Caenorhabditis elegans: one gene and its partner. The protein of the gene in region 1 purifies or fractionates together with the protein of each later gene. This does not show direct contact. Each region holds a gene or a part of one and is shown in the gene's direction. Other genes may lie near its edges.

What was found. The genes of interacting proteins can lie anywhere in the genome.
Region 2: the proteins of fecl-1 (region 1) and cyp-42A1 fractionate together in Caenorhabditis elegans (co-fractionation; one large-scale study listed by BioGRID). This does not show direct contact.

The regions. Positions count from the first base shown.
Region 1 is NC_003279.8:7,148,053-7,154,356, reverse strand, and holds fecl-1 (FErroChelatase-Like), read left to right. Parts: upstream 1-2,512; 5' UTR 2,513-2,541; coding exon 2,542-2,586; intron 2,587-2,643; coding exon 2,644-2,801; intron 2,802-2,844; coding exon 2,845-3,060; intron 3,061-3,110; coding exon 3,111-3,217; intron 3,218-3,263; coding exon 3,264-3,379; intron 3,380-3,425; coding exon 3,426-3,749; intron 3,750-4,153; coding exon 4,154-4,312; 3' UTR 4,313-4,417; downstream 4,418-6,304. Other genes in the region: crml-1 (CARMIL pleckstrin homology domain-containing protein), read left to right, coding at 1-1,193, 1,278-1,446.
Region 2 is NC_003283.11:18,909,342-18,919,361, forward strand, and holds cyp-42A1 (Cytochrome P450 4V2), read left to right. Parts: upstream 1-2,694; 5' UTR 2,695-2,700; coding exon 2,701-3,068; intron 3,069-4,172; coding exon 4,173-4,539; intron 4,540-4,961; coding exon 4,962-5,166; intron 5,167-6,732; coding exon 6,733-7,143; intron 7,144-8,307; coding exon 8,308-8,492; 3' UTR 8,493-8,776; downstream 8,777-10,020. Other genes in the region: ptr-22 (SSD domain-containing protein), read right to left, coding at 9,978-10,020.

The DNA.
Region 1 (6,304 bases):
GTTAATGTATCTCTTCGATCTGTGTCCATTGACAATAATCATATTGGTGCTGATGGTTTTGTCGATTTGGCAACGTCTATCAAGATGAACCACACATTAACTCATTTCCCTTATCCTGTTCATGATGCATTTGACTGTATGCAGCGTGTAGAACGACCGAGGACAGTGGCAGCATTATCACAGATTCAAAACTGCTTGTATCGGAATAGAACAGCTCTCGGAGCCGACGAAGCCAATTGCAAGAAAATGTTCGCAGAGGGAGTGCTACAGAAAATGGAGAAAGCGAATGATGAGGTTGTTGGAAGCATTGTTGACTCAATTTCAGCTTTTGGACAAGAACCATTTCCACCAAAAATGATTGAAATCATTGAAGAATTCGTTGGAAAGTTTCAAATGGAAGGCGGTCGGATCATTTCTGAGAGCATTTCAAGAACAATCGGAGGTGATTTAAGTGCAACATCGCGTCGTGCAGAGCAACTTGCAACAGCTAGACTTGCTGAAGTTTGCACAGAACAAGTGAAACATGTGTTTAGTGAATGGAAATGGAGGGAAATGTGCGAACACGTGGAATCTGAACTGTCCAAAATGTCAATTGGAGGATCTGGTGATGCATGCAGCCTTGGAAGAACGTCATCTGTGGGGACAGGATCACCTGCAATGTCATCTCCATTCACTCCGAAACGTTCTCAGGCAGGACATCGTCCGAGAAGTATAATTGGAGATCTGACATCATCGACAACATCTTCCGAAACAGTTGGAGATTCTACGGAGCAAGGAGTCAATTTAGATTTGCCACCAAAGCCTTCAGTCCTATCACATCTACAAAAGGCAAGACCAAGGAAAAGAGGAGGAGCTTCATCTATTCTAAATTCATCCCTTTCTGAAGACGTGATGATGACAAGTAAATCAAGTGGAGGACCAGAGAATGGAGATTTGGCTGATCTAATTGAAGAAGTTGATGAAGTTGAACAAGAACCAAGAAAAGTTCCAACTGGTGTTCGTGTTGCTATGATACCAGATAGTTCCCTCATTTCACAAGTGCATCTTCGTCCTTCAGCTGAACGTACTCTTTCTGCTTCTTCTGACTTCTCACTGTCTCCACGTGAAGCTTCTTCTCCAACAACAAGTAACAGTAAGATCATGACGTCATCAAGTGCTTCGGATTCTCCACCACCTTTGCCTCAACGTAATAGGTGCGTAATATATGTAAAAACAACATTTATACTGTTTTGAAATTTCAAAATTATGGTTAATTATAATATTTAATTTGTATTCAGAGTTGGACCTGGCGGTGCTCCACCCCCATTACTTCCTCCTAAACCAGAACCTCGAAGTCGTTTGATTGGAATGACGTCTCCAACTACACCTCCACCTACAGCAGATGATGATGAAAATGCAAATAGTCGTCGCTCTGTGGCTGATATGGCTAGAATTTTCCAAAAATAATCGAGATTTTAGCTCTACCCAACGATGTAATTTATCTCTTCCCTGTGACTAATTTTTATTTCACGGATATTTTGGTGGTCACAAATTTATTCAATTAGATATTTTTCTTATTTGAGGAAAATATTTTTAGCTGTTCTCGATTCTTCCTCTAATTTTTAATCTCATCAATTGTTACTGTATTTTTCAATTTCTGTGTTTGTCCCATTTCTCCTGTATTTTAACAGCTTTACTAGAATTTTTTTGGCATACTTCTTTTTTTCACCATTTATGTTCCATATATATGTTAATGTATTCATTGCGAGTATTCTTATGGTTTCTCCTCCTCTTCCAGCATTTCTGATTTCCATGTCTCTTTCTTATCGGAACTGTTCACTTCTTTGTTATATGCAAAACGTGGTTTCTGTATTTCTTGACTTCTAAATTGTTCAAAATGAAAGATTTGAAGAATATACTTTCCAAAAATTTTAATGCAATCCATCAAAATAGTGCGAAAAGTCTTTCACTGTATTTTTAAATATTTGGAAACCCCAGAGCTATTACGAGAATTAACTGTCTACTAAAGAAAGAATGAGCTCAAAATCTGAGCAACACGAATAAAAATTTAATTTCTTTGCGGAACAAAGAAAAAAGGGGCGCGACCAAAGAATTCTTTCAAAATGAGCCTGATGAATGAAGTGAAAATTGAAGCAGGCAATGAATTGGCCAATGAGAAAAGAAATGGTGAAGAAGCAGATGCAAGTGGGAAATTGAAATTGAGTAATGGAAAGAAAAACTGTCGATTTAAAAGAAATTTAGAAATTAAATGAGTAATTCTGTATTTTAGATAAAAGCTTCTGGAAAAATCAAATATTACTGTCGATTGACAATATTTCGTTTTTTTTTTAATTGTGTTTTTATATCAAGTTCATTAAATCATCAGCTAAATTGAAAAAGTCTTGTCGAAACGAAATGGACGGCCACTGTTTTACTTTCTTTCTCTGCGTCTGCATCTCACTCAACTTTTCAATCTCATGGGGGTTTTTCATTTTTTCTGCAAACTTCTTCTTTCAATTAATAAACTTTATTCAGAATGCCTATTTAATTCGAATCTTTGTTATGAATAAGATGCTTTCAAGGAATCAAAATGTGATCCGCGTCGCGGTGAGAATATATTTTTAATATTTTATTTCTTTTAAAGAGCATCGTTTAACATTTCAGGCTCGATCACACTTTTCCGCAGATCCAGCTCGATCACCACAAACCGAGATAATTCTACTTCATGCTGGTCAGCCATGGAACGAATTTCATGCCAAGGAATTTCTTAAAAATCAATCCGCGCAATCGATGAGACTTCGAATGCCAAATTTCGTACACACGTTAGTCAATCATCCACTTAAAAATCTGAAACTTGTATTTCAGACTAATCGCCAACGGCAAACTGAAAAATGAGAATTTGAAAGGATGCATTGCTGCTTATAAAAATGTTCCGAGCTTAGAGTCGCAGGTTGATAGACTAGGCAAGAAGATTGAAGAATCATTGGACACTGTAGTACCAGAGCATGGTCCATTCAAAGTATCCCGTTTGTTTCAATTTGACGAAGTATCATTTGAGGATCAACTAAAAGAGATTAAATCGTAAATTTATTGAAAATGCTTATTTTGGTAATAAACATCGAAACTTTCAGACATCGATCCCAGCATTACATCTTCATGCCACTCTACCCACACTTCTCTGCAATAGATAGTGAAACTCTTCTCGTCAAATCCGCTAAAATTATTGAACAGACTTCATGTGAGTTTTTTTTTTTAATACTTTCTATATATTCTACTTAATTTAGCTCCATTGGTCCAGGGAAACAAAAATATCACAAGCAGTAGAATTGAACAAAATTCGGATTATTCCTATGATGTATCTGCAATTTGGCGATGGAATAATCATCCAATTCTGGCAGATGTAAGAATTGCACGAAATTGTCTTCATGTTAATTCAAATATTTTAGTATTGGTCGTCGAAAATCAAGGAAGTCCTTCCGAAATTGGATGGTGTTGTTTTCGCAGCTCCTCGAAAGTTTACCTGCAATTACGGACCAGTTTTTGCGTCTTGTGAACGAACCATGAATCAGCTTGGTGATCTGATTCCATGGCGACTTGGATTCTATTCCTCTTGGGATTCATTCGATCTTCCATCTATGCAGGGTGTTGCCTCTCAAGTGCAGAAAATTAGGAAAACATCAGAATCTGGAAAAGTGGCCGTTGTACCAATTACAGATGTTATCGAAACTTTCAACACACTTTATACATTACCAAAAAAGGTTGAACACTTGGTAAGTTTTAATTTAACAAATTCCAAATGGAAAATTGTCAGAAACAATACACATCTATATATAGACGTTTTGTGTTTAAAAAAATCAACAATTTTTTTCTCGGCAAAACCCTTTAAGATTAAAAAAAATACTACTTAGACGTCTAAAAATGAACATTTTCATCGGGTTACTGTAACTCGTATCGCTTTATTGGCCGCTATTGTATCTTAAAAAAAAAAAGAAATACTGCCAAGCTTTTTTGAATAAATTTACGATACAAAAGCGATGAACACGAGTTTCTGTAACTCGATGTGTGCGTGGCGAGACCATCCGCGTAAAATAAGGCAAAAATTATCGTCTTTAGACGTCTACGTAATATGAAAAATTATGTTTTTAAAATGCAATATCAACTTTTTTTTAAATAGAAAAACGCACTAGTCCTTCGACCCGATTATGAATCCGATCATCTGACACATGGAATATCGGAGATCGTCAAAAATCTATTGCTCGGACGGAAGGATCAACAATTGGAAGTGGCCTGCTCAACGAGACAGTTGCAGAATCTCAACATATTTTTGCATTGAATCTTTCGAAACGATTAAACGTGTGTAAAATTATTATTTCTAGAGAAATTGCCACATTACCAATAGTTTAGGTTCTTATAGACCAAAATGAAATTGTTTTTATTTAAATTATGTTTCCTATCCATAACAAATTAAAGTTCAAAGTATACTGTAAATAATATATGACATCATTGAAATCCTACACTGAAATTACCATACGTATGGCAGTTCTGATTCGAAACATACACAATCCTAAATACCCTCCTTCACATCTACTGACGCGTAGTGTGTCTCTTCTCTGCTCTTCTAACACCCTCCACCGCCTTAACAACTGACTCGACATGTGTCTACGTCACCATACTATTTCGTCGTCCGTCTCTTTTCTTGGCGGTCTCTGTGATGAGTGGGGCTCTCTCATAGGCGACGGCTGTTTCGGCCCGATGGCGGCCATTCTCCCATTCTCTGCATACCACTCTAACTAGACCAGTGCCGGCCAGTAGTTGACCATTCAGGCCGAAATCTTGTCAATTGTTATCTAATGGGTGTCCCAATGTGTTCCCAAGTATTAATTGTTCTTATTTCCTGCGACCCATGAGTTTTGAAGCTGTAGTACTGTCATTTTCCAATTCAATTGAAGATCACATCGAGTAGATCTTGAAATGTTATTCACATTTCTTCAACTATCTGAAATAACTATACATTTCTTGTTTTAGAGACTAACAAATCATAATCCTTTTGCAAAAAGACAATATTTGTCAAATCTCTATTTATGACATTTGGGAAAATCTGTGAAAAATTTTCCAAAAGCCGGCTTTTGGGGTACTCGAGTATCCTTGAAAAGATGTACCAATCATTTAAACTGTCAACTGCTGATAAAGTTTGCGCTCGGTTCAAGTTTGCACGTTCGCAAAAAATTCAGTGCTCCCTGCAACAACCTTGATCTCTCCTCTCTCCCATATTTCCATTCCCACTGCTGCAGTCTCTTCTCTGTTTCCCGCGTCAATTATCACTGTGAGATCCCGAAGAGAGCTTTGCCGGGAAGAGTGCTGCTTCCGTTTGAGCAAATACTCCCTGCTTGGGCGCGAGCCGTTCCAACTAAAAAAACGGAACAAGGACACGGGCGGCGCACGCGCCCCGCGTGTGCCATGTTGAATATACATTTTAATAATGGAGAATTTTAAATTGAATAATATTCTTATGCCCATTGGCGCCAAATTTATGTAACTACACGTTTATCTCTTAACTTCGCAAGTCAAATATTTCGTTTTTATATGCCCATTTGCAACTGGCAAATGCATGATTAGGTCAGAGAACGTTCTGATAAGGGAACTTCGATTTCGCCTACTCGTTCAATATTGTGTTCACTGGACTGGAACGTTCAAGGCGAGAACATGAAGAAAATTGTGTGCGGGAATAGGTTTCGAGACTACCCAAAGACTTTTTAGTGCACTCCAAACTCAATAAATTGTTGCGAATCGCTCTTGGTCCTTCCGTTTGTGCTTTTTCTTATTTTTTTGTCCTTGAAATTTTAAAGAATCTTACATGTTAATGTTTTTAAAAAGGCAAATTATTGAGAGCTGTGCTGCATTTGAAATGTTAATTGCATGGAAATTGATTTTCAAACTACAACTTGAAAAATAATCCTATTTCATAAATTCAACCTTTTTTATTTAACATTAGAACAAAAAACACTGAGAAACTTTGATTTAGGCAATGTTGGGCACGTCTTAAAGATTTAAAACGTTTTCTTTGTTATTTTCGTTGCAAGTCGAGCGGTAGCTCATTTCCACAAAATTTGCATCTCCCAACAATGGTGCGCCTCTTCGATAGAGCGCATTTCAATTCTCTTAATTTAAAACAAAAAAAAATTTCCAATTAATTTTCATCATTTTTTAAAAATTAGTTCGCTTGAAAGCTGTTCAAACAAATTTGGTTTGCAACAAAACTCGTCTTCTCGTATCATCATTCTGTCGTTTCGCACGCGACAAGATAACACACTACGTTTCGGATAAT
Region 2 (10,020 bases), on another chromosome or scaffold:
AAAAAAAAAATTTTCAAAAAAAATTTTTGTTTGGACTATAATTTTTTTCGGAACTTCTAAAAAAAACTGCATATTTATTTAAATTTGGCAATAATCACTTGAAAGGTAACTTGAAAATTTTAAATTTTTACGAAATTGGTTAATAATTAACCGAGTTATGGTAGCTTGAACTGTGGTAGTTGAATTTTTTTTTTGAAAAAGTCGGAACAAAAAATATATTCAATCCTAAGCTTTTGATATGATAATTTTATGAAGTTAAAAATTATCAAATGAAGCTTAAAACTCGCTCAGTTACGTTACTTTAAACTAACTAAAGGTTTGACCCAAAAAAATTTTTCTAAAAAAAATTCAAGCCTAATCGTAAGCCTAAGGTAAAGCCTGAGCCTAAGCCTAAGCCTGAGCCTAACTGTAAGCCTAAGCCTTAGCTTAAGCCAAAGCCTAAGACTAAGCCTAAACCTAAGCCTAAGCGTAAACCTAAGCCTAAGCTTAAGACTAAGCCTAAGCCTAAGCCTAAGCCTAAGACTAAGCCTAAGCCTATACCTAAACCTAGCCCAAAGCTTAAGCCTATGACTAAGCTTAAGCCAAAGCCTACGCTAAAGCTTAAATCTAAGCCTAAGCCTAAGCCTCTAATCAGCGCCTATTTGCAAGGCCACCAAGCGTAAAACCGTTACGCGCCTCTGATTTCTAGGGTCTAACGGTTTTAGGGTATACAAATAGTTCAAATAATTGTACCAAAGTCCAATTGAACACTGTATCATCTTTTTCAACTATTTTTCCATGTGAATCAGTAAAAAAGTACAAATGATCGGACACTCTGCGTCTCTCATCTCTCCACAATCGCACCATATCATTAGTGTCTATTCTCAGGATTCTCTGTATCTTTTAGTGGTCAGAACACTACTCCAAGGACACTTTATTATATTATTAAGTACTTGAACAATGATCTGATTCATTTTGTTTTTTGGGAAGGTTTTTTTTTTGAAAAAATAGAATTTTTGAAAATTTTCCAAATTTTTTTTCCAACTGAGATTTTTCAAATTCGCGTAACTTTTCGAGTTTTGGATCAATTTTTTAGATTTTTAAATTTTTGAAATAAGCATAAAAACAGCTTCCAATTGAATATAGTTGTAAAAAATTTTAAGCAATTTTTTTCGATTTTTTCAAAAAGTTTTTCTGAGTGAGACTTTTCAAACTTACGTAACTTTTTGAATTTTGTGCCGAATTTTTAGATTTTTATAGTTTTGAAATGAGCATGAAAAGAGCTTTCAACAGAACACATTTGTAAAAAACTTTGATCAAAAAATAAAATTTTTTTCGATTTTCAAAAAGTTTGAATTTTTTACAAATTTTTTTCCAACTGAAATTTTTCAAATTTACATAACTTTTTGAGTTTTAGTCCAAATTTTTTATAAAATATGTTTTTGAAATCAGTATAAAATTTGCTTTCAGATAAATATATTTATGTGAGAAAATTTTGAAATTTGAAATTTTTTTTTACAAAATTGTCGTATAATGCTCCAAATTTTGTGTTATGTATATTTTCAAAACTAGTGTAAAATTGAACTTCGAAATAAATATAATACTGCCACGTTTTTGAAAAAAAAAATTTCTTTATTTTTAAATTTTTTTTTGAATTTTTTCCCCTCAAAAATGTTCAAACTACCGTAGTTCTAAGAAATTTGGGTCAAATTTTTAATAAAAATTTATTATTTTTTATTTCTGAATTCAATTTAAAACTGATTCAAGATAAATGTATTTTTGACGATATTTTTGAAAAAAAATTTTAGTCCAAAAAAATCCAAAAAATTTTTTTTCCAAATTTTTTTTTTTGAGATTTTTGGTTTTGTTTTCTAAAAACTTGTTACCCCAAGACATATAACCTTTATCTAACAATCCATTAAAATGTATTTCTTCTACCCAATTACCTCCTCTTACCATTTCCCTCATTGTAACTGTCTTGTCAAACATGTGAGGATGACCTCAACATTCCGGTTTTGATTTTGGTATACCTTTTTTTGGAATCTAATTTAAAACTTGTTTTGTCTTTTTTAGTTTTGTTCAATTGAAAATTTCGAAAATAACTTTTTTTCGATTTTTCTCCACATTTTCAACTTTTTAGGGCTTTTTTGCTCTTGCTCTTTTTGAATGATAATAGTACCGTCAGCATTTATTTCACCAATTTTTGTGGAAATTTTAGACTTATCTATTTTTCTTGTAGGAAAAAGTTTTAGTCCACAAAAAATTTTTTTTTCGAAATTTTTTTTTTCGAAAATTATCAGATTTTACAGTAAATTTGTGTTTTTACTTCTAATTTTGTTTCAATTTTGATAATATTTTCTATTAATATACGTTTGAATTTTTTTTTGGAAGTATTGTCGATTTTTTAAATTTTTTTCGAAAAAAAATTTTTGGTCGAATTTTTTTTTCAATTTTTCTCAAAATTGTTTTACTAATATTAGAAAAATTTTTTTTACCAATTCAACTTATTCCGGACATTTCTCAATGTATAAAAATTAGATGTTTTTTTTTTGAAAAAATATTCGGCAAAATTAAAAAAAAAAATTTTAATTTCAAAAAATTTCAAATAATTAATTTTTTTTCCAGATTATTGATTTTTCACTTTTTTTCTTGGTTTTACACTTGTTCTGTTTTTCTGTTGTACTCCTTTACCCTTAAATACCAAAATGAAATTCCAGAAACATGGGTATAATAACCGCCTCCCTGATAGTCCTAACTATCACCTGGATAATCCATTTCGCATTCCGGAAAGCAAAATTCATTTACAACAAGCTTACGGTCTTCCAAGGACCCGCCGCACTTCCACTTATCGGAAATTTCCATCAATTTCACTTTTCACCAGAGGAATTTTTCGAGCAATCTCAGGGAATCGCCTATATGATGAGAAAAGGAGACGAGAGAATTACAAGGGTCTGGCTTGGAGGACTACCTTTTGTGCTGCTTTATGGAGCACATGAGGTTGAAGCTATCCTTGGGTCCCCTAAAATGTTGAACAAACCTTTTTTGTACGGGTTTTTGAGTGCTTGGATTGGAGATGGGCTGCTAATCTCGTAAGTTTGAAGGTTTTTTTTGTGATCAGAGTAGATTTGAAATAATGCTACCAAAAAATACACAAAATTTTAGACATACTGGCTTTTAGATGGCCAAAAAATATCGAAAACTGACAAAGTTATACATAAAAATGTGGAAAAACTAGGTTGCAATCTTATTTCAGCGGTTTGGAACCCGAAAAATCTGAAATTTCAGCTAGAAAAACATATATCAGCCGCCCGGGGGTCGAACCCCGGGCCTACTACCCCATAAGCAAGTCTCTTACCCACTGCGCCACCCCTTGCACACTACTGGGCGCGCAGTGTAGCGCGCTCACTTGCAGCATGGCGCAGTAGGTAAAAGGCTCGCCAATGGAAAAATAGGTCACGGGTTCGAACCCCTGATGGGGTATTTATGTTTTTCTAGGTGAGAAATTCGAATTTTTGGGTTTTAAGTTGTGAAAATTTTTCTGGAAACTGGTTTTACTTAAAATCACTCATAACTTTGCCTATTTTTGACATTTTCGGACAATTTTTTGATTGAAACAGGTATGGAAACTTCTTCTTTTGAAAATTTGACACCAAAAAAACTCCAGAACAATAGTAACCTCAGAACTTTCCGTCAAAAGACCCAACAATTTTCCTTTTATTAATTTTTACTAAACTTCAAGCTATCATAACTTATTAATTTTTGAGATTTTCAACAATTTTGAAATTTAATATGTGAAACAAACATTTTTTTAAAAAATTTATACAAAGAATTCAAACTATAACACACTCTGTGGAAAAACTGGTTTCCAAGCTTATTTCAGCGGTTTGAAACCCAAAAAATCAAAAATTTCAGATAGAAAAACCTATATACCACAACGGGGGTTGAACCCGACCTGTTTCCTTATAGGCGAGCCTCTTACCCACTGCGCCACCCCTTCCTCTCCCCGAGGGCGCCATGCGGCGCGCTCCCTTGCGGCATGGCGCAGTAGGTAAGAGGTTTGCCTTTGGGGAAATAGGTCACGGGTTCGAACCCCTGGTGGGTATATATGTTTTTCTAGGTGAGAAATTCGTATTTTTGGGTTTCAAATCGAATTTAAGTCATTTTTTCGGAAAATTTCAAAAAAAAAATTCCAGAAAACCAGACAAATGGCGTCCCCGTCGTAAACTGTTAACTCCAACCTTCCACTACGACATTCTGAAAGATTTTGTAGAAGTCTACAACAGGCACGGAAGGACCCTACTCTCAAAATTCGAAGCTCAAGCTGGAACTGGAGAATATTCAGATGTATTCCATACTATAACTCTGTGCACATTAGATGTTATATGTGAAGCTGCCTTAGGAACATCTATAAATGCACAAAAAGATCCACATTCCCCATATTTGGATGCGGTTTTCAAAATGAAGGATATCGTATTCCAGAGGTTACTCCGCCCACACTACTTTTCGGATACTATTTTCAATTTGATCGGGCCTGGAAAAGAACATGATGAGTGTGTGAAGGTGATTTTAATCATAAAATTGTTTAGAAATGTCAAAAATGGACAAAAACTATGAATGATTGGAAGTAAAACCAGTTTCCAGTTAAATTTTCATAATTTAAAACCCGAAAATTTGAATTCCCCGCCTAGAAAAAGCTATATACCCCAGCGGGGGGTCGAACCCGTGACCTATTTTTCCAAAGGCGAACCTCTTACCTACTGCGCCATGCTGCAAGGGAGCACGCCAAAAGGCGCCCCCGAGGAGTGGGAGTGGTGGCGCAGTGGGTAAGAGGTTCGCCTATGGGGAAATAGGTCCTGGGTTCGACCCCGGGCAGGCTTAAATAGGTTTTTCTATCTGAAATTTCAGATTTTTTGGGTTTCATACCGCTAATACAAGCTTGGAAACTAACTTTTCCAATTTTTTTTTTCAAAAATGTTTTCCAGATTCTCCACGAATTCACCTCAAAAGCCATATACGCACGTAAAGCTAAGGTAGATGCTGCTGGAGGTGTAGAGCAACTTTTGGCTCAGGAAACAGCTGAAGGACGAAGGCGGATGGCTTTCCTAGATCTCATGTTGGATATGAATTCGAAGGGAGAACTTCCGATGGAAGGGATTTGTGAAGAAGTTGATACTTTTACATTTGAAGGTCAGTTTTTTTAAAATTTTTATTGGAAAATCTGAAAAATTTGGCCCAAAAATCATACTTCGTAAAATTTTTACAGTTTTGCATTGGAGCGCGTTTACCACATTTAAAAACTTGTTTTTCAAAAATTGAATATTGTCAAATTAAAGGTGACATATTTTTCTTCCAGACGCATTTTGAAATTTTGAAAAAAATATTTGAAATTAGCTAAAATGTGATAATTTGGAAAAAGTTGGCAAATTTTTAATTTTTTGAAATTTTTGAAAAAAAAACCAATAATTTTGAAACTACAGTATCTCAGCTTATTTTCAATATTTTTTGATGCTCTAAAAACTAAAATGCAGCTGATAATAGGTCCAATTTAAAATTTTACAAATTTCAAATAAAAAAATTTGTCTAAAAAGTAAATGCGCTCTAATCATAATTTGCCAAAACTTTTCAAGAATTGTCTTTGGAGCGCATTTACTACGTTCAAAAATTAGCAAATAAAAGCGTTGTTGTGTTTAAATTGTAGATCATCTATTTTTCTATATGCCACAGTTTGAAAATTTGAAAAATTAAAAATTTGACAAAAATACGACAGTTTCAAAAATTATGGTAAAAATCAATTTTTGTAAAATTTTAGAAAAATCAATAATTTTGAGACTACAGTATCTCAGCTAGTTTTTAATATTTTTTGATGTTCTAAAAACAGAAATGCGGTTAACTATGTGTTCATAATTTGACCATTAACAAAATTTAATTAAAATATCTTTTCAGTGACGTAAATGCGCTCTATTAATAATTTACCAAAATTTTCCAAAATTTGTCTTTAGAGCGCAATTACTACTTTTGAAAACTAGCATATTAATACGTATATTATTATAAATTGTAGATGTAATATGTTTCTACACGCTACAACTTAAAAATTTAAAAAATTTATAATATTGGCAAAAACACGGCAGTTTCAAAAACCATGGTAGAAATCAATTTTTGAGAAATTTTCGAAAAAATCAATAGATTGGAAACTACCGTATCTCGGCGAATTTTCAATATTTTTTGATGCTCTAAAAACCAAAATGCAGAAAACTATGTGCTCAAAATATAAAATGAAACCAATTTTCAATAAAATAACCTTTCAATGACGTAAATGGGCTCTAATGATAATTTACCAAAACCTTCCAAAAAGTTGTCTTTAGAGCGCATTTACTACCCTTAAAATTTGCAAATAAAAGCATATTTTATTTTAAATTGTAGATGTTATATTTTTCTATATGCTACAACTTGAAAATTTGAAAAATTTCAAAAATTTTAAAAAATACGACAGTTTCAAAAATCATGATAAAATCCAAGTTTGAAAAATTTTCGAAAAAATTAATAATTTTGAAACTATAGTATCTCGGCTAATTTTCAATATTTTTTGATTTTCTAAAAATTGAAGTAGAGCTGAATATGTGCTCATAATTTAAAAATTAGCAAATTTCAAACATAATAATTTTTCAATAACGTAAATGCGCTCTAATGGCAATTTTTAAAAAATTAAAAATTTTTTGAGTTTCTAAAATTTTAAAGTTTTGTAATTTTTTCCAGGCCACGACACAACATCAGCCGCAATGAATTGGTTCCTCCACTTAATGGGAGCAAATCCAGAAATCCAATCAAAAGTTCAAAAAGAAATCGACGAAGTTTTGGGAGAAGCCGATCGGCCAGTCAGCTACGAGGATTTGGGAAAACTGAAATATTTGGAAGCCTGTTTCAAAGAAACTCTGAGATTATATCCATCAGTACCATTAATTGCAAGACAATGTGTTGAAGATATTCAAGTACGTGGACATACACTTCCATCTGGAACTGCTGTTGTTATGGTACCATCAATGGTACATAAGGACCCTAGATATTGGGATGATCCGGAGATTTTCAATCCGGAAAGATTTATTACGGGAGAGCTGAAACATCCATATGCTTATATTCCATTTAGTGCGGGATCCAGAAATTGTATTGGTGAGTTTTTAAAAAATTAAAAAAAAAATTTTTTTTTTTTTTTGAAATTTATTTTTTGAAAATCTTCAGAATTTCTCAAATTCCAACAATTTTCAGCAGTTTTAATGTCAATTTTCAAATTTCTTACGCAAATTCCATTGATTTAACACCCATATTGCCTATTTTTGGTGAAATTCCATGTTTGCCCATCTTTTGCCGGTCTGTTGCCGGAAATATCGGCTTTTCTCAAATTTCAGCTAATATAGACAATATGGGGGTTAAATTAACGGAAATAACATGAAAAATTTAGAATTAGATGCTGAAACCGATAATTTTTGACAAAAAAATTTTTTTTTTGATTTTTTTTTTCAAAATTTTAAAAATTCAAGAAATGCACCAAAACTAGATTTTTGGTATTTTTCACATTTTTTTACACACGGTTTCCGTCAATGTAACACTAATATAGCCTACATTTTTTTTAAACTTATTTTTTTGGAAATTTTTACCAAATTTTGCCGGTTTTTTCCATGGCCGATATGGGGCTCAAATTATTTAGATCTTTTGTAAATGTGCAATACTGGAGCAGAAAATGCTCAAAAATCAAGTTTTAGTATTTTTTGAATTTTTAGGAATATTGGAAAAAAATTCCAAAAAATTGTTTTTTTTTTCAAAAATTTTCAAAATTCAAAATTTCAAAAACTATCGATTTTTAGCGTCTAAAATTGAAGATTCTTCATTTTCCATGTAATTTCTGTTTATTTAACACTCATATTCCCTATACAATTTTGAGAAAAAACGATTTTTTCGGCAAGAGACCGGCAAGAGACCGGCAAGTGATGAGCAGTAATGAAATTTCACCAAATATAGGCAGTATGGCGGTCAAAATGACGGAAATCGTGTCTCAAATTCAAATTTCGTATAGTTTTAGTTCATTTTTGAATTTTTAGAAAAATTAGAAAAAATTCAAAAATTGTCTTTTTTTCAAAAATTTTCAAAAGTCGAAATTTCAAAAATTATTGATTTTTAGCATCACATTTTGAATTTTTCTTGTAATTTCTGTTAATTTGACTCCGAAATTGTCTATGTGCTGTAAATTTGAGAAAAATCAATAATTCCGGAAAAAATGGCAAAATTTTTTTTATCAAAAAAAATTTTCCCAAAAAAATCAATAAATTTTAATTTCAGGAATGAGATTTGCAATGATGGAGGAAAAGTGTATTCTAGCAATAATCCTAAAAAATCTGAAAGTCAAGGCAAAGCTGAGGACGGATGAAATGAGAGTTGCAGCTGAGCTCATTATTCGACCACTTTATGGAAATGAGCTGAAATTCGAGAAACGAGAATTTGGAGATTATACATCCATTTATTAATTTTGAGATTATTGATTTTTTGAAAATTTGAAAAAAAAAATTCCTAAAAGAAATGTTTTTTTTTGAATTTTTTTTCAGAATTTTGAATTTTTTTTTAAAGATTTGCTCATTTTTTTGAAATGTTTCATTTTATTATTTTTTTTCTTATAATCAAAAAATATTTATGGCAAGGATCTCGGTTTTTTTTTAATTTGTGATATTCAAAATATTATTTTTTTCCTGTACTCAAGATATATATCTAACATAAAATATAATGCAATTGAATAAATATTTCATATTCAAATAGTTGACTGTTAGTTTTGTAAATAAAAAAGTAAAACAAACATTTTTTTTTGAAATTTTGAAAAAAAATTCAAAATTTTTTCAAAATTCAAAACTGCAATAACTATTGATTTTTAGCATCTAAGGTTACAGGTTCTGCATTTTTCATGTGATTTCCGTTAATTTGAACCCCATATTGCCTATATCTGGTTAAATTGGAAAAAAAATCGACATATTCGGCAACAGTCCGGCAAGTGATGGGCAGCAATGAACTTCAACCGAATGTATGCAATTAATGAGGGGGGGGGGGGGAGGGGTGTCAAAATAACGAAAATTTTATGAAAAAACCCAAATTTTGTAAGAAAAATGCCCAAAAACAAGTTTAAGTGAATTTTTAAAACTTTTAAAATTTAAAAAAAAAATTCCAAAAAAAAAAAAATTTGTTTCAAAAATTTTCAAAATTCAAAACTTTAAAAGTTATCGATTTTCAGCTTCTAAGGTTATAGATCTTGCATTTTTCATGTTATTTCCGTTAATTTTTAGTGAAATTTGATAAAAATCGATATTTCCGGCAACTGACTGGCAAAAAATGGTCAACAATAAAATTTTATCAAATTTATGCAATGAGGGAAATTTTTTTTGTAACGGAAATTTTATGAAAAACTCAAATTTTGTATGAAAAATGCCCAAAAATCTAGTTTTAGTGTATTTTTTAATTTTTAGAAAAATTAGGAAAAAAAAATTCAAGAAAAATTTTTTTTTCAAAAATTTTCACAATTCAAAACTTCGAAAATTATCGATTTTTAGCGTCTAAAGTTACAGATTCTGCATTTTTCATGTGTTTTACGTTAATTTGAACCCCATATTGCCAATATTGGCCTCGTTTGAGCAAAAATCGATATTTCCGGCAAAAAATAGGCAAAAATTAAATTTCATTAAATATAGGCAACACGGGTGTCAAAATAACGGAAATTGTGTGTAAAATTCAAATTTTGTATGAAAAATGACAAAATATATAGTTTCAATAGATTTTTGAACTTTTAGAAAAGTTAGAAAAAAAATTTTTTTGAACAACTTTGAAAAATTCAAAACTTTAAAAATGTTCGATTTTTAGCGCCCAAAATGATTTTGAATAATTTAAATTTTATTTGACAATTTAAAACCCGTACAGTACAATGATTTTCGAACAATGTAAAAATATATACAAATTTCCAAAAAAAAAATCTAAAATTTCTCAATATTATTATTATTATTTTCATGATCCTTC